Caenorhabditis elegans: one gene and its partner. The protein of the gene in region 1 interacts with the protein of each later gene in a pairwise test. Each region holds a gene or a part of one and is shown in the gene's direction. Other genes may lie near its edges. The genes, in order: ppfr-4 and pph-4.1.

Region 1 (7,457 bases):
ATTTTTATGGAAAATTTACGATAAAATCGAAATATTTTCCAAATGTTTTGAACTCAAAATCCTGAGAATGCGTATTGCACAACACATTTGACGCGCAAAATATCTCGCAGCGAAAACTACAGTAATGACTACTGTAGGTGTCGATTTACGGGGCTTGGCGGCAGCTCGTAAATCCACACTTACAGTAGTGATTACTGTAGTTTTCGCTGCGAGATATTTTACGCGTCAAATGTGTTGTGCAGAATATCTCGCAGCGAAAACTACAGTAATGACTACCGTGTTCAAAAAAACAAAAAATTGGGAAAATAACTTGATCTTTCCTGGAAAACACTGAAAAATCGTATATTTTCCAGAAAAATACGCTCCGCCCCCAACAGGCGGGTCTCGTTAGGTATTTGTAGACAAAACTTTAAATTCAAATGTTTTTGTCACGTTTTTCATTAGTTTAATAAATTTTTATGCCGAAATTTATAAAATAACATAAGTTCGACGAAAAAATCAATAAAATCGATGGAAAATTGAAAATTTTCCTAACGAGACCCAACTGTTGGGGGCGGAGCGTTACCAATTGTCCGTGGAGCGCGTTTTCACGTCGATTTCAAAAGGAATTTCAATTTTTTTCCAGAGACGGAGCTCTTCGAGTCATTCGACCGCTGGTGATGGTTCGCGAGAAGGCTCTACGAAATTTCGCCGAGGATAAAAGTATTTTCAGCGATTTTTTTTTTGAATTTATCTCCAAATAAATAATTTTCCAGAACTCCCAGTTGTCGCGGAAAACTGCCCGGCATGCTTCAACCAGGCCACCGAACGTCACCGTGTCAAGCAGCTCCTGGCTCAGCAGGAGCTCATCTTCCCCGACTTGTTTAATTCACTGAGATCTGCTCTGAAACCACTGCTTTTGGTGGGTGATTTATGGGTTTTCAAGCTCTAGTAACGCGGGATGTCCCTTGAAATGGCAGAGTTTTGGGAAGCTCGGCCGCGACGCAGCAGCGCGCGGAGCGGCTCAGGCAAAAACGTTGATTCTGTTTTTTTTTCTACCAGAAAATGATAAAATCAATGTGTTCGTCTGAGCCGCTCCGCATGCAGCTGCGTCGCGGCCGAGCTTCCCAAGCTGAAAACTCTTCCATTTAAATATAAGAGGGACTCTGAGCCCCCTTGAGCTCTTTTTTTCAAATCTAATAAATGTTTTCCAGGTTGATTCGGCGCACACCAGCGTGATGCGGAGCCAGGCGGTGCATAATATTGTGAAGGAAATGTCATAGGGAATTTTTCCTATAAAAATTAAAATTTTCCTATTAAAAAAAATATTTAAATATTTTTCTTGTTGTTAAATGTTAATCGTAATTCGTCCTTGAGCGTTTGAATGTTTTTTTGATGTTTTGGTTTGTTGAATAAAAACTTTCAAAAATAAAACCGACAACTGACACATTGATGAAAAAGTGAGTAAAAAGTTAGTCAGCTGTTCCATCGGAAGCCGGCTCAAAGCTCTCAAGCTCCAAAGCTCCAAAGCTCCGAGCCAGTCTGCCGCCGGAATGCGGATCGCCTTGATTTTCCTCGTTCTCCTCGTTTCCTTCGCCTCGTCATGCAAGAATTTCGATAAATATATGAATATGTTCTGCCGTTACGGCTTGGAGCAATCCCCATGCACTGTTGAGGATTGTAAGTTTTTTTATTTATTGATTTTTTGTGTTTTGTTTCAAAAGATTCATAATTAATTTCAGATAGCACCTACAAATCCGCGTGCTGTGCCATGAAGAACAACTGCTCGTACAAGGAATTCCCGAAGGATGATGTCTGCTGCTTCACTGTTGAGTGCCTCAAGAGATGCTTCCCGGAGAAGCTGCTCAAGAACGATAAAGTCTATTAAATAATTGGATTTTGATGTTTTAATTTTTTTCCAATAAAGCCAATTTTTTAGACTAAATTTTCGGCGATTTTCTTCTTTTTTGAGATAATTTTTCAAATTTCGCGCGGGAAAAGTGATTTTGCGCCACTTTTTGAGCCTCTGCGGCCATAATCGAAGACTTTCAAAAAAACGAGTTTCTCCACTTTTTGACTCGAAATAAAGCGTTTTCCGAAACATTTTGAACGTTTTATTAAATATGATTTTTGGTCATTTTGACAGTGTTTGAATTGTTTTTCCGTTGTTAAAGGAAAAATGACACGATTTCCCATAAAAACCCTTTAAAAACAAGCAAATTTGAGTTTTTTTGAACGTTTTCTCCATAAATTTCGATAAAAAACCGAAAATTCCGTCTGAAAAGTTGTAAAATGTGTTCCAGAAAAAAACAAAAAATTGTTTTTTCAGAAATCTGTGCAATATTGCGTGAGGGTGTTTGCACAAGTGTCGTCAAATCGGGTGTTTTCTATTTTCGTTTTGTTTATTGAAAAATTTTCGCTCACTGAAAACGGGTTTTCTCTGCGAAACCTGAATTTTTCCTCGTTTGTTCAATTAAAAATTGATTATTTAAATTTCAGAGCATGTCAGAGCTATCAGATGAAGAAATTTCCTTGCAAGCGCTTTACGATCCGAGCAAAAAGGTGATCGGCGATATTGAAGATGGGATTTTTTCCACCCCGGAGCTCCAACCTCGCATCAAAACGGGAATTGATAATCTCCAGTTGGTCACGAAGCTTGTGAATCAGATGAGATTGTTTTCGTCGAATGAGCAGGTTTTTTATCGAAAAAAAAAAAGATTATTTCTGAAATTAAATGATTTTTTTTCAGATTGAAGACGTTCCAACAAACTCGCTGCCCTATCTCCTTGTCCCATGTTTTTTGGGAATTCTCCACCAAAATTTGATGACTGAGCCCGGCCTGAAGCTCGACGAACTGAGAAAATCCAAAATTTATATGCGAAATTTTCTGGATCGCCTCCGAGATTTGTGCCTGATCACCACCAGATTACCATGGGAAGATGAGGATACAGAAGAGCAAAATTTAAAGGAGAAGCCGAAGCTTGCAGTTGAAGAGATCAGAAGATTGAAGTTGGAGCGTCACAAGAAGAAGCAAGAGCTCAAAATGGCGGAGCTCAGGATCCAAAAGCAGCTGGAAGCCGTTTCAATTGATGAGCAGAATCTCAGAGAGCTCTATATTACTCAGTTATTGTTCTGGAGTGAAAGATGTTACGAGGAGTTGCAGGCGATTGATGGTGTGTAGAATATCGCCTAGTTTCCATGGAAAAATTATTTTTAAAAATCACGAAAAATCGGAATTAATGTGATTTTCTGGCAGAAAAACGCAATGTTATCATATTTTTTTTCTGAGAACTCGAAGAAAACTGGAATTTTTGCTTGAAAAATCGTTTTGTTGCTCTAAAAATGCTCAAAATGGCTTCGAAATGCCGAATTTCATGGAAAATAAGGAGAAAAATGGCTAAATTTAGCTAAACTTCCGGATTTCGCACATTTTTTCATTAATTTAACGATGTTTCCAGACGAATGGTAACCAAAACACAGAAAAACAGCAAATATGTTCAAATTATGATCTTTTATTCGAGAAAAAAACTATTTTTCTGTGCGACGCTGCTTTTTAAAGATTTTTTGTAATTTTTTTAAACTATTATTTTAAAAAATCGAAAAATTCAATTTTCAGGGTCATTTTGAGGCTCTAAGAGCTATAAAATTCGTTTTTACCCACAGACAATTAAAAAAAAAGCAAAAAAAGGAAAAATAATAATTAACTCATTTTTTAAATTTTTGCAAAACTCCTTTAAAATTAGAAAGTTGTAAAAAAAATTTCGAATTTTCAATTATTCAAAAATTGGAAAAAAATTAGACAATTAACAGGAAAATTCATTTCTTTTATCAAATCTGGTTTATTTTGATTTGAAAAATCAGAAAATATATAGTTTTCTTCTACAAACAAAAAAATGATCAAATCACGACCAAATCGGAGATTTCCGCTAAATTTTGGACTTTTTTCTTGTTTGTAGAAAAAAAAGATATATTTTCTAAAGTTTTTCATCAAAATAAATCTAAATTTTTTTTTCGATTTTTGAATTAAAAAAATTAATTATTCAAAAATCGAAAAAAAAATTTATTTTGATGAAAAACTTCAGAAAATATATCATTTTTTTTCTACAAACAAGAAAAAAGTCCAAAATTTAGCTAAAATCTCCGATTTGGTCGTATTTTGGTCATTTTTTTGTTTGTAGAAGAAAACTATATATTTTCTGATTTTTCAAATCAAAATAAACCACATTTGATAAAAGAAATGAATTTTCCTGTTAATTGTCTAATTTTTTTCCAATTTTTGAATAATTGAAAATTCGAAATTTTTTTAAACAAAAAAATAAAAAAAATTTAAATAATAAGTTAATTATTATTTTTATTTTTTGCAAATTTTTTAATTTTCTGTCAGTAAAAAAGTTTTTTAATAGTTTTTAGAGCCTCAAAATGACCCTGAAAAATTGAATTTTTCGAGTTTTGAATAATTTTCAGTTCTTCATGGCCAAGCCTTTTAAGCCTTTTAGAGCAGAAAGCGACGTTTTTAAAAACGGAAAACAATTTTCAGACGAGCTTCCACTGCTGAAAATGATGGCTGAACGAGCATCTCACCCACATCGTCATCCAGCTCCACCACCAGCAACAAAGACAGTTCCAACACTTAAACCCTTCATTATTACCAGAGATGCTCAACAGAAGCAGGTCTTTGGGCTCGGATATCCAGGAATTCCAGCGATGAGTGTCGATGAATGGTATCATCAGAAATTCGGTCATAATCCACAAAATGCTCCACAATCGTCGGCTCCAGCCGGGGCAGAAGCTCAAGAATCCGAAGAAGAGGTTGATGATGACGAGGCGAGAGCGAAGGCGATGCGTTGGGATGAATATAAGGATGATCATCGACGTGGATGGGGAAATATGCACAATAAAGGATAAATTATATTGTAGATCTCTACTTTTACGCGGGATTCCTAGCTCCCGCATGTGTCGATTTACGCGGCTTGTGTACTTCACGAGGAGAAGGCGAAAAATTTTGAAAAATCTGCATTTTTTGAATGGAAAAATTGCAGAATTGGCAATTTTCGGCGGATTATTTTGAGAATTAAAAAAAAATTGCAGTTTTTATGGGAAAAAATTTTTTGATAAAATTATTGAAAATTTTTTCCGCGAAAATCTGCAATTATCCGTTTTTTACGATATTTTTCTAGAAAAAAATCAATAAAATTGCGGTTTTCTGGAAATTTCAAAAAATTCCAGGTTTTTCGAAAATTTTGAAAAATAAATTATTCAAATAGAGATATTTCAGATATTTCTTTCAAAAAACTTGAAAATTTGCGTTTTTTTGAAAATTCTGAAAAAATTCAATAAAACCGCGGTGTTCTCTTTGAAATTCTCAAAAATCACTGGTTTTTTTTTGGGAAAATTCAAAAAATTGAGGATTTTTCACTAAGAAGTCTCAAAAAAAAATTCGCCGAATTTCCTGAAAATTCTCAAAATTTTCCATAAAAATTGCGGATTTTAGCAAGAGTTTTTTTCAAAAAAAAAATCGGATTTTTCCAAAAAAAAGTTCCCTTCACTTCGGGGAGTTCACGAGCCGCGTAAATCGACATTTTTATACGGCGTCTTATTTTCGTTTCGAATAAATGTGAAACTGTAAATAATTATATTTTATTATATTTTTTTTTGCATTTTTAAAGGGTTTTTACCTTTTTTATACATAAGTTCCAAAATATTTTTCAGATTTTCAGAAAAAAAAAATTTCAGAATGGCATTCCGTAAGCGTCGTCACGATTCGGAAGGAGATTCCGATGAAGAGAGACTTCCGATCAATAAAGATGAAGATGAGGATCTGAAAGCTGTAAGGAGCACGATTTTTGGCTGAAAATCGGGGATTTTCTACCTTGAAAATGAAAAAATTGGCAAAAACTAACCATTTTCGTAACAAATTTCGATTTTTGATTAAAAAAAAACCGAAAAAATCAAGAAAAAGTTTCACAATTCGGATTTTCTCTTAAAAAAAACTATTTTTGACGAAATTTTGAAACTTTTTTGTAAAAAATTCAATAAAACAAGATTTTAAGCACTTTTTTCGGATTTTTCAGAAAATAAAAATTTTTTAGAACAGTTTCTTTTCAGAAAAAATCAAAACTTTTTTTTTTCAATTTTTAATCGAAAAATCGGCAAAAAGCTACTTTTGTCTTCAAAATTCTGAGAAAATATCCATTTTTTACATTCTTACTCAATTTTTTGAAAAAAAAAAAGATTTTTCTTAAAAAATGTATTTCCGATAAAATTTTAGCAATTTTCCTCAATTTTTTTGGCGATTTTTCGATTAAAAACTTGAAAAAATTCGAAAAAAGCGCTTAAAAACTAGCTTTATTGAATTTCACTCAAAAAAAAACTGAAAAAAAGAGTTATACAAATAACAGGAACTGAAGAGTAAAATAAAAAAACATTCTATTAAAAAAAACCGGTTTTAATTATTTTTTTCTCAATGTTTTAATTAATAAATTGATAATTTTGATTTAGTGTTAAAAATAATCAAAAATCTAATTTTCGGTCTATTTTCTAATTTTTTTGAGAGAAATTTCTACTTTGAAAAAATTATTTTCAAATTTTCAAAGCTTAAGTTTCTCTCAAAAATTAAGAAAATAGACCGAAAATTTGATTTTTTTTAAAGCTAAATCAGAAATTATCAATTTATTAATTAAAAAATCGGAAAAAAATTAATTTCATTTTTTAAATAGAAAATACGATTAATATAATTTTTTGAAACAAAGAAAAATACCCGAAAATTGTAAATAATTATTGAAAAATATTAAAAAAATTTCCAGGAACCGGCAAAAAAGTCGAAAAACATGTGGTCAGATATGTTGCTCGAGGAGCAACTTCTCGAAAAAGGTCAACAAATTAATTTGGATCGAACATCAAGAAAGCAGCCAAATGTTTCACGTGGTCCTGAATCTTATTTGATGCCACAGGACGAATTTCAGCGGAAACAATCGAGAAATGCTAATCAAAAGAAAAAGAATGAGGTGTTCGATGTGAGGAAGCTTGAATTTCTGGGATTTTATTGGAAAAAATGCGATTTTCTGGCAAAAATTATCAGAAAAATGCGCAAAATTGGTGTTTTCAGCTGCTTTTTTTGAAAAAATAATTTAATTTAAAAAAAAAATGTTGCCTTTTTTTTTTTTTGGAAAAATTGCAGTAAAAAGCAATTTTTGAAAATGAATGTATATTAATTGTCAGAAAAATAATTGAATTTAATTTAAAAATTCTAAAAAAACTAGTTTTCTAGCAAAAAGCTACGAAAACCAACATTTTCTGCTCAGTTTTTAAAATTTTGAGAAAAAATTGCAGTAAAATTACAAGAAAAACTGAAATTTTGGAAAAATCACTGCAAATTATTCCAAACTCGTGTTTTTTTCTCGAATTATTTTTTTTTATTCTGAAAATCTTTAAAAAATGTGCTTGATTTCTGAATTTTCCGATTAAAAAAAAGAAGCAGA
Region 2 (10,050 bases), 9.7 Mb from region 1:
GTCGAAAAACCGGTCTGAATTCCCGATTTTTCCGCCAAATTCTTAACGAGACTTCAATTGCCCGTGGAGCGCGTTTTCTGCGTCCTTATAACTACCCCGTGAGCCAAGAAATTGACGACAAACAATGGACGTGCCCGTTGTGCACAACTTTTCGGAAATTCGAACCATGGAGAATCAGTGAGACAGATTTTCGAAATACGATCGTCTCCGCCAAACTTTTTGAGCTGAAATTTAATGAAATTATATGATTTTGGCGGGTCTCGACGCGACAAATTTTTGTTAAATAGAAAAATGTGTGCGCCTTTAAAGAGTACTGTAATTTAATTTTTCACACGATTTTTTTTCGAATAAAAATGCATTTTTAACTATTTTCCGCTGTTTTTAAATTTGAAAACAGATTTCAGGACTTTTTTCGGCAAAAAAAAAGCGAAAAAACGGGGTTTTTAAGGCAAAATTCCATGTTTTCCTCAATTTTGGGTCTCGAAGCGACAAATTTTTGTTGAATACAAAAAAGTGTGCGCCTTTAAAGAGTACTGTAGTTTTAAATTTTAGTTTCTGTGAAATTTATCGATTTTTCGTAGTTTTTCTAAATAAAAATATTTTTTAATCGAAAAAATTTAAAAAAAATCGCGAAAACTAAATTAAAAAAATTTTTTTCGATTTTTTTTCAAAAGATTAAAAAATATTTTTATTTAGAAAAACTACGAAAACTCGATAAATTTCACAGAAACAAAAATTAGAAATTACAGTAATCTTTAAAGGCGCATACCTTTTTTTCTTATTCCTTGAACACAATTTTGTCGTGGCGAGACCTGAAACAGGGGTTTTTGCCTTAAAAAATCGCGAAAATGTCGATTTTTCGCCAAAAAAAGCTGAAAATAGTTTAAAATCCCATTTTTATTCAAAAAATTCAGAAAAACAGGGATTTTCGCCTTAAAAATCCGGAAATATGTCGTTTTTTCGCTTTTTTTGCCAAAAAAAAAGCTGAAAATATATTAAAATTGCATTTTCCTTTAAAAAAATCAGAAAAACAGGGATTTTTGCCTTAAAAAATCGGAGAAAAGTCGTTTTTTCGCTCTTTTTTAGCCAAAAAAAAGCTGAAAACAGTTTAAATCCCATTTTTATTCAAAAATTCAAAAAAACAGGGTTTTTTTGCCTTAAAAAATCAAAAAAAAAGTCGATTTTTTCACTCTTTTTTGCCAAAAAAAAAGTGCTGAAAACAGTTTAAAATCGCATTTTTATCCAAAAACTCAGAAAAACAGGGTTTTATGGCTTAAAAATTCGGAAAAAGTCAATTTTTTCGTTCATTTTTAGCCAAAAAAAAGCTGAAAACAGTTTAAAATCGCATTTTTATTCAAAAATTCAGAAAAACAGGGATTTTCGCCTTAAAAATCCGGAAATATGTCGTTTTTTCGCTCTTTTTTGCCAAAAAAAAAGCTGAAAATAGATTAAAATTGCATTTTCCTTTAAAAAATTCAGAAAAACAGGGATTTTCGCCTTGAAAAATCGGAAAAACATCGATTTTTTCGCTTTTTTTTGCCAAAAAAGTGCTGAAAATCCCACCACACTGGCTGTGTCGTAACCACCACGACTGTGAGCCACCACGTAGATGCTCTTAGCATTCGATGGCTCAATACACGCTATCCAGACAGTTTCAGCGTGCTCGACAGGTGTGCGGGAGTACTGAAAATCGATTTTTCAGCGAATTTTTCGAAATTTCCCGGGTTTTTTCACACCTTCAAATCCTGATCTTTACTTTCATTCAAATTAGTGTTCATCACCACAACACCCCATCCATTTTCAATAGCTCTTTCGATATACGGAATCTGAGTTCCACACTCCAAATTATCATTGATAATGAGTCTACGAGCCCATTGTCCGGCTCTGACGACACCGCTTCCGTGGATCAATACTAGAAGATTTGCAGCTTTTTTGAAATTTTTCGACACAAAAATGAAGCTTAGATCCTCATCCTCGTCGGTTTTTCCTGGAAGTTTTAGCTGAAAAAAAATTTTTTTTTTTGATTTTTAAATTTTTTTTTCCATTTTTTAAAAATTTCTTAATTTACCGCCTTTCTCTTCAGCCCACAACGTGTCTCCAGAAGCTCATAAACTTCCAGATCAACTGCTTCTCCCAGTTCTTCATAATCCTCCTGTGTAGTGAATTTGAAGGGTTTTTTGTCCTTCTCCGTTTTCAGCACGCCTTTTTCGTCGAAAAAGTACCCGAGTTTCGCCAAACTTGACATTGTTCACTGAAATTTATTTGAATTATTCGCAAAAAAACTGGTTAGAACAGAGAAAATTTCCGAAAAAACAATTTTTAAAATTAAAAAAAAAAAAAAATTTCCTGGCCGCGACCGAGGTTTCTCTCGTCCACACGGCGCAATCGCGCTCTGTTGGCAATCTGGCACAATGCCAATATTACACTGAATTTATATTTTTGCACGAAAAACTCTGGATTTAAAGTCGATTTCGCCTGTTTTCATTGGTTTTTTTCGTTTTTTCGTTTTTAAATTAAATATTAATTCAAAAAATCGATTTACAACGTATTTTACAGCTTTTAATGGCTCTGGCGTGCACCGACTCTGCAAATTCCACATTTTCACGTGTCGACTCACCGACTTCCGGCCCATCGGACCAGCTAACAACTCATGACTTGGATCGGTAGCAGTTTTGATATAAAAACAATAAAATATCAACAAAAAAAAAATATTTTCAGCCACATAGAAAAGCTGATGAGATGTGAGCTCATCGCGGAGCAAGATGTCAAAACACTTTGCGCAAAAGCTCGTGAAATCCTAGCGGAAGAGGGCAACGTCCAGGTTATCGATTCTCCGGTGACGGTTGGTTGGATAAAATCGATTTTTAAATCAAAATTTCCATTTTAAATTCTATTTCCAGATCTGCGGAGACATCCACGGCCAGTTCTACGATTTAATGGAGCTCTTCAAAGTCGGCGGACCAGTGCCGAACACCAACTATTTGTTCCTCGGAGATTTCGTGGATCGAGGCTTCTATTCTGTGGAGGTGCCCCCGCTTTTTTGCAATTTTCCTGGCGAAAAAATTGCAAAAAAAACTCCCAAAAAATCGATATTTTTCCAGACATTCCTTCTACTTCTCGCACTGAAAGCTCGCTATCCGGATCGAATGATGTTGATCCGTGGAAATCACGAAAGTCGCCAGATTACTCAAGTCTACGGGTTCTATGATGAATGCCTTCGGAAATATGGAAATGCGTCTGTTTGGAAACATTGTACCGAAGTTTTCGACTACTTATCACTTGCCGCTGTAATTGATGGGAAGGTTTTCTGTGTTCATGGTGGATTATCCCCGTCGATTAGTACTATGGATCAGATTCGTGTTATTGATCGGAAGCAGGAGGTAAAACGCAAAAAATATGCTGTTTTTAATGGAATTTTGCTTTGAATTTCGGTTAAAATTCGGTGAATTACAATTTTTTAAATTTCCGGCATTTTGCCGAATTTGCCGGAAAGTTTTAAAATTTTCGAAAATGAAAATAACCGACAAATCTGCAAATTGCCGGAATTTAAAAATTTCCGGCAAATCAGCAAACCGGCAAATTTGCCCAAAATGAAAATAACCGGCAAATCGACAAATTGCCGGAATTAAAAATTTCTGGCAAATCGACAAACTGCCGTAATGAAACTTTCTGGCAAATCGACAAATTGCCGAAAATGAAAATAACCGGCAAATCGACAAATTGCCGGAATTAAAATTTTCTGGCAAATCGGCAAATGTTCGAATTAAAAAATTTGTGGCAAATTGGCGAAATTGAAAATTTCCGGCAAATCGAAAAATTGCCGGAATTAAAAAATTCCGGCAAATCGGCAAATTGCCGTAATTAAAAATTTCTGGCAAATCGGAAAATTGCCATGTTTAAAAATTTTCGGCAAATCGGAAAATTGCCGAAATTGAAAATTTCCGGCAATTCGTCAAATTGCCGGAATTTAAAAATTTCCGGCAAGTCGGAAATTTGCCGAATTCGCCGGAAAAACGGCAAATTGCCGGAATTAAAAATTTCCGGCAAATCGGCAAATTGCTGGAATTGATAATTTCCGGCAAATCGGCAAATTGCTGGAATTGATAATTTCCGGCAAATCGGCAAATTGCCGGAATTTAAAAATTTCCGGCAAGTCGGAAATTTGCCGAATTCGCCGGAAAAACGGCAAATTGCCGGAATTAAAAATTTCCGGCAAATCGACAAACTGCCGAAAATGAAAATTTCTGGCAAATCGGCAAATTGCTGGAATTGATAATTTCCGGCAAATTTCCGGAATTAAGATTTTCTGGCAAATCGGCAATTTGTCGATCATGAAAATAACCGTCAAATCGACAAATTTCCGGAATTAAAATTTTCTGGCAAATCGGCAAATTGCCGAAAATGAAAATAACCAGAAAATCGGCAAATTTCCGAAAATTTCCGTTTAAAAAAAAATTTCCGTTTTTTTCATTAAAAATTTTTTTTTTTAATTTTCAGACTTTTTTCTAATTTTTTCTCATCAAAATCGACCAATTTAATTTTTATTTCATTTATTTCGATTTTTTCCCCGAAAAATACTAAAAAATTCAAAAAATAGTCTCAAAATCAGAAAAAAACCACAAAAACGCGATTTTTGTCTTCAACCAATCAGCGATTCGCTCCGCCCACTTTTCAACCAATCAGATGGAGTGGGCGGAGTTTGAGTTCTCATTTTGGAGGGAATTCAAAATTGAAAAATCTTTTTATTTTTCTGAATTTGATACTATTTCGGATATTTTGAAGCGAAATTTCAAAATTTACGTTAAATTTTTCGAGAAATCACTTTTTTCCAGCGGGGCGAAGGTTTTGCAAGTCTGCGGTTTGCTATATTTCGATTTACGGAGAATTTTGTAATACACACGGACAAGCGTCGATTAATTTTTTAATTTTTTCTAATAGTAAATTTACAGTTTTGGGCCATTTTTGCCAATTTTTTTTGGTGTTCAACATTAAAAATTGGGTCCATATATATATATTTTTTGAATAGTGTTTACAAAAAAAATTACAGAACTGAAGAACAATTCGAAAAAAAAAAAAAAACGCTTATCCACGTGTAGCACAAACTCCACCGTAAATCGACAGAAATCAAACCGCGCCGCAGGTTTGCAAAACCACCGTTCCGCCTCAAAAATTGAAAAAAAAATCAATTTTTTAATCAAATTTTGTTCGTTTTGATAGAAAAACGTATAAATTTGTGCTAAAAAAGCGAAAAAAAATTCTGAAAATTTCCAGGTTCCCCACGACGGTCCAATGTGTGATCTACTGTGGTCGGACCCCGAAGAAGGAAATGTTGGATGGGGCCTAAGTCCACGCGGAGCCGGTTATCTATTCGGAGCGGACGCGTCGAAAACGTTTTGCGAAACGAACGGAGTCGATTTGATCTGTAGAGCTCATCAATTGGTTATGGAAGGATATAAATGGCATTTCAACGAGAAAGTGCTCACTGTTTGGTCGGCGCCCAACTATTGTTATCGGTACGGGATGGATTTGGAAAAAAAACGGAAATTTTTTTTTCGTGAAAAAGACGAAAAATTAAAATTTTTGGTCACTTTTTTATCATTTAAAGTATAATTTTTAGGAAAAAATACAATTTTTTTCTGAAAATTTGAATTTTCCCGCTAAAATTTGTTTCCAAAAAATTTAAATTTTCCCGCCAAAATTTGATTCCAAAAAAATTCAAATTTTCCGGCCAAAATTTGTTTCCAAAAAATTTGAATTTTCCCGCCAAAATTTGTTTCCAAAAAATTTGAATTTTCCCGCCAAAATTTGTTTCCAAAAAATTTGAATTTTCCGGCCAAAATTTGTTTCCAAAAAATTTGAATTTTCCCGTCAAAATATGTTTTTAAAAGAAAATTTAAATTTTCCCGCCAAAATTTGTTTCCAGAAAATTTGAATTTTCCCGCCAAAATTTGTTTCCAAAAAATTTAAATTTTCCCGCCAAAATTTGTTTCCAAAAAATTTGAATTTTCCCGCCAAAATTTGTTTCCAAAAAATTTGAATTTTCCGGCCAAAATTTGTTTCCAAAAAATTTGAATTTTCCCGTCAAAATATGTTTTTAAAAGAAAATTTAAATTTTCCCGCCAAAATTTGTTTCCAGAAAATTTGAATTTTCCCGCCAAAATTTGTTTCCAGAAAATTTAAATTTTCCCGCCAAAATTTGTTTCCAGAAAATTTGAATTTTCCCGCCAAAATTTGATTCCAGAAAATTTGAATTTTCCCGCCAAAATTTGTTTCCAAAAAATTTGAATTTTCCCGCCAAAATTTGTTTCCAAAAAATTTGAATTTTCCCGCCAAAATTTGTTTCCAAAAAATTTGAATTTTCCCGCCAAAATTTGTTTCCAAAAAATTTGAATTTTCCCGCCAAAATTTGTTTCCAAAAAAATTTACACTTCCCGCCAAAATTTGTTTCCAAAAAATTTGAATTTTCCCGTCAAAATATGTTTTTAAAAGAAAATTTAAATTTTCCCGCCAAAATTTGTTTCCAGAAAATTTGAATTTTCCCGCCAAAATTTGTTTCCAAAAAATTTGAATTTTCCCGCCAAAATTTGTTTCCAAAAAATTTGAATTTTCCCGTCAAAATATGTTTTTAAAAGAAAATTTAAATTTTCCCGCCAAAATTTGTTTCCAAAAAATTCAAATTTTCCCGCCAAAATTTGTTTCCAAAAAATTTGAATTTTCCGGCCAAAATTTGTTTCCAAAAAATTTGAATTTTCCCGTCAAAATATGTTTTTAAAAGAAAATTTAAATTTTCCCGCCAAAATTTGTTTCCAGAAAATTTGAATTTTCCCGCCAAAATTTGTTTCCAAAAAATTTGAATTTTCCCGTCAAAATATGTTTTTAAAAGAAAATTTAAATTTTCCCGCCAAAATTTGTTTCCAAAAAATTTAAATTTTCCCGCCAAAATTTGTTTCCAGAAAATTTGAATTTTCCCGCCAAAATTTGTTTCCAAAAAATTTGAATTTTCCCGCCAAAATTTGTTTCCAAAAAATTTGAATTTTCCCGTCAAAATATGTTTTTAAAAGAAAATTTAAATTTTCCCGCCAAAATTTGTTTCCAGAAAATTTGAATTTTCCCGCCAAAATTTGATTCCAGAAAATTTGAATTTTCCCGCCAAAATTTGTTTCCAGAAAATTTGAATTTTCCCGCCAAAATTTGTTTCCAAAAAATTTGAATTTTCCCGCCAAAATTTGTTTCCAAAAAATTTGAATTTTCCCGTCAAAATATGTTTTTAAAAGAAAATTTAAATTTTCCCGCCAAAATTTGTTTCCAAAAAATTCAAATTTTCCGGCCAAAATTTGTTTCCAAAAAATTTGAATTTTCCCGCCAAAATTTGTTTCCAAAAAATTTGAATTTTCCGGCCAAAATTTGTTTCCAAAAAATTTGAATTTTCCCGTCAAAATATGTTTTTAAAAGAAAATTTAAATTTTCCCGCCAAAATTTGTTTCCAGAAAATTTGAATTTTCCCGCCAAAATTTGATTCCAGAAAATTTGAATTTTCCCGCCAAAATTTGTTTCCAAAAAATTTGAATTTTCCCGCCAAAATTTGTTTCCAAAAAATTTGAATTTTCCCGCCAAAATTTGTTTCCAAAAAATTTGAATTTTCCCGCCAAAATTTGTTTCCAAAAAAATTTAAACTTCCCGCCAAAATTTGTTTCCAAAAAATTTGAATTTTCCCGTCAAAATATGTTTTTAAAAGAAAATTTAAATTTTCCCGCCAAAATTTGTTTCCAGAAAATTTGAATTTTCCCGCCAAAATTTGATTCCAGAAAATTTGAATTTTCCCGCCAAAATTTGTTTCCAAAAAATTTGAATTTTCCCGCCAAACTTTGTTCCCAAAAAATTTGAATTTTCCCGCCAAAATTTGTTTCCAAAAAATTTAAATTTTCCCGCCAAAATTTGTTTCCAGAAAATTTAAAATTTTCCCGCCAAAATCACGTAGTGCCAGAGTGTCCCATTTCGGTTTGATCTACAAAAATGCGGGAGAAGTGACGCACTGATTTTGCATGATTAAGAACGTGTTGACGTCACATTTTTTGGACAAAAAAATCCCGCATTTTTTGTAGATCAAACCCAAAAATTTGTTTCAAAAGAAAAATTGAATTTCCCGGAAAACTTGAGCTTTTTTTGCAGTAAAAAAAAACTTAATGAAAATTTTCCAGATGCGGCAACGTGGCGGCAATTCTCGAGCTCGACGAGAATCTCAACAAGGAATTCACAATTTTCGAAGCTGCTCCACAAGAAAATCGCGGAGCACCGGCCAAAAAACCGCACGCCGACTATTTCCTCTAATTTTTTCTCGAAATTTTCTCGAAATTTCTTTCTCGCCCAAAAATTCCGAAGAATCTCCCCCTTTTATATCGCCGAAACACCATTTTTTTCCTTTTTTTTTTGCTCCCACAAAAATATTTCAATATTTAATTATTATTTTCCACACACACACACACATTTTTCTGTAAATGTCCACCCCCCTCCAAATTTTACGGATTTATTTTTTTTTCGACAAAAAAAAGTATTAAAATTTATTTCATGCTATTCATTTTTAAAACCGATTTGATTTGAAACAAAAAAAAACAATTAACCGTATTTGGGGAGTGAGAAATGGGAAAAAAATAAAACATGAAAATGGAATTTTTCACAGAAAAAATCGAAGTAAAATACAATTGATTGGATAAAATGGGAAAGCTGCGACCAATCAGGTGGAGTGGGCGGAGTGGGCGGAGTTCAAAGTCGCTGATTGGTCGGTGAGAAATTGAGAAAAAAATGGATTTTTGAAGCTTTAAATATAACATTTTGGATAAAAATAACTAGTTTTCAAAGATTTTTTAATTTTTTAATATTTTTTTCGCTCAAAAAATCCTTCAGCTTGGCTCAAATTGCTGGAAATTCTCATCAAAAGCCTGCTGCTCGGCAAGCTTGGCACCATCCATGTATCGGTTCAGTTCTCTTGTGATTTGATTGAGTACCACTTTAATCGCATTCGCCTCCCTCAGCTCAACCTCCTCCTTTTTGAGATTCAACTGATGGTCGGCGATCTCGAAAGCCGTCTTCGCACGGGATTTTTTCGAAGCAAACGTATTTTGAGGTAGTCCTGCGATTTTTTTGACACTCGTGTATTGTCCGTAGTCCTGTTCGGTTTTGTTGAAGGCCTGAAAATGTTGAGAATTGGGGAAAAAATTTGATTTTTCACAAAAAAAAAATTTTTTTAAAGTTTTTTTGCCAGTTTTTCTTATGTTTTTTATCACGGATTTCTGGTTTCCCTCCATAAATTGAAATGGAAGAGTTTTTGCCGAATTAGGCCAGGCCATATCTGGGGTAGATTTACGGCGCGCGTTGCGTGTCGCGTCGCGGCTCGATTGTAAAACTAAATGTATTTGTCCGTGTGGAGTACACGTTGTCCGGCGGGGGTGATTGTCAATGGAGCGCGAAAAAATCAATGAGGAAGGCCAGAAGCCCGTGAAAAAGAAAAAATTTAAAAAAAAACTATATTTGATAGTGTTTTTGGATTTTTTGTTTAGTTTAAATTTTTACTTTTTTTTTGTTGCTATTTTGCCAGTTTTTCTTATGTTTTTTATTATCAAAAATCGATAAAAATTGGATTGTTTTGTTTTTTTTACATTTTTTTCGATTTTTCAAAAAAAAAAAGCCTTAAAATTTTGGCAATTTTTCATATTTTTAGAAAAAAAAACTGATTTTTTTGTAAATTTTCAAACCATTGTTTTCCGATTTCATCTATCCCCACACGGGCCCTTTCTGGCCTTCCTCATTGGATTTTTTTTCGCGCTCCATTGATAATCGCCTGCCGGACTCCACACGGACAAATACATTTAGTTTTACAATCGAGCCACGACGCGACACGCAACGCGCCGTAAATCTACCCCAGATATGGCCTGGCCTAGTTCGGCAAAAAACTCTTTCATTTCAATTCATGAGGAAAGCCAGAAATCAGAAATCGTGAAAAATGAAAAATAAAAAATAAAGTATTTTTTAATTTTTTATTTTTTCAAAAATTGA

The links.
Region 2: the proteins of ppfr-4 (region 1) and pph-4.1 interact in binary tests that used the Caenorhabditis elegans proteins (3 or more experiments, as listed by UniProt).

Annotation. Positions count from the first base shown.
Region 1 is NC_003281.10:2,617,458-2,624,914, forward strand, and holds ppfr-4 (Serine/threonine-protein phosphatase 4 regulatory subunit ppfr-4), read left to right. Parts: upstream 1-2,478; 5' UTR 2,479-2,481; coding exon 2,482-2,673; intron 2,674-2,728; coding exon 2,729-3,152; intron 3,153-4,516; coding exon 4,517-4,884; 3' UTR 4,885-5,252; downstream 5,253-7,457. Other genes in the region: Y71H2B.5 (Aminotran_5 domain-containing protein), read left to right, coding at 626-702, 756-901, 1,194-1,262; Y71H2B.4 (Lipoprotein), read left to right, coding at 1,533-1,659, 1,722-1,867; Y71H2B.2 (Phosphorylated adapter RNA export protein), read left to right, coding at 5,714-5,806, 6,783-6,992. UniProt on the Caenorhabditis elegans protein: Probable regulatory subunit of serine/threonine-protein phosphatase PP4 which may play a role in meiosis and embryonic mitosis.
Region 2 is NC_003281.10:12,343,843-12,353,892, reverse strand, and holds pph-4.1 (Serine/threonine-protein phosphatase 4 catalytic subunit 1), read left to right. Parts: upstream 1-2,556; 5' UTR 2,557-2,562; coding exon 2,563-2,663; intron 2,664-2,718; coding exon 2,719-2,842; intron 2,843-2,900; coding exon 2,901-3,026; intron 3,027-3,101; coding exon 3,102-3,380; intron 3,381-5,271; coding exon 5,272-5,513; intron 5,514-8,198; coding exon 8,199-8,328; 3' UTR 8,329-8,570; downstream 8,571-10,050. Other genes in the region: FAM172 family protein homolog Y75B8A.31, read right to left, coding at 96-224, 1,564-1,683, 1,737-2,000, 2,069-2,245; zip-1 (BZIP domain-containing protein), read right to left, coding at 8,898-9,185. UniProt on the Caenorhabditis elegans protein: Protein phosphatase which plays an essential role in meiosis and in early embryonic mitosis.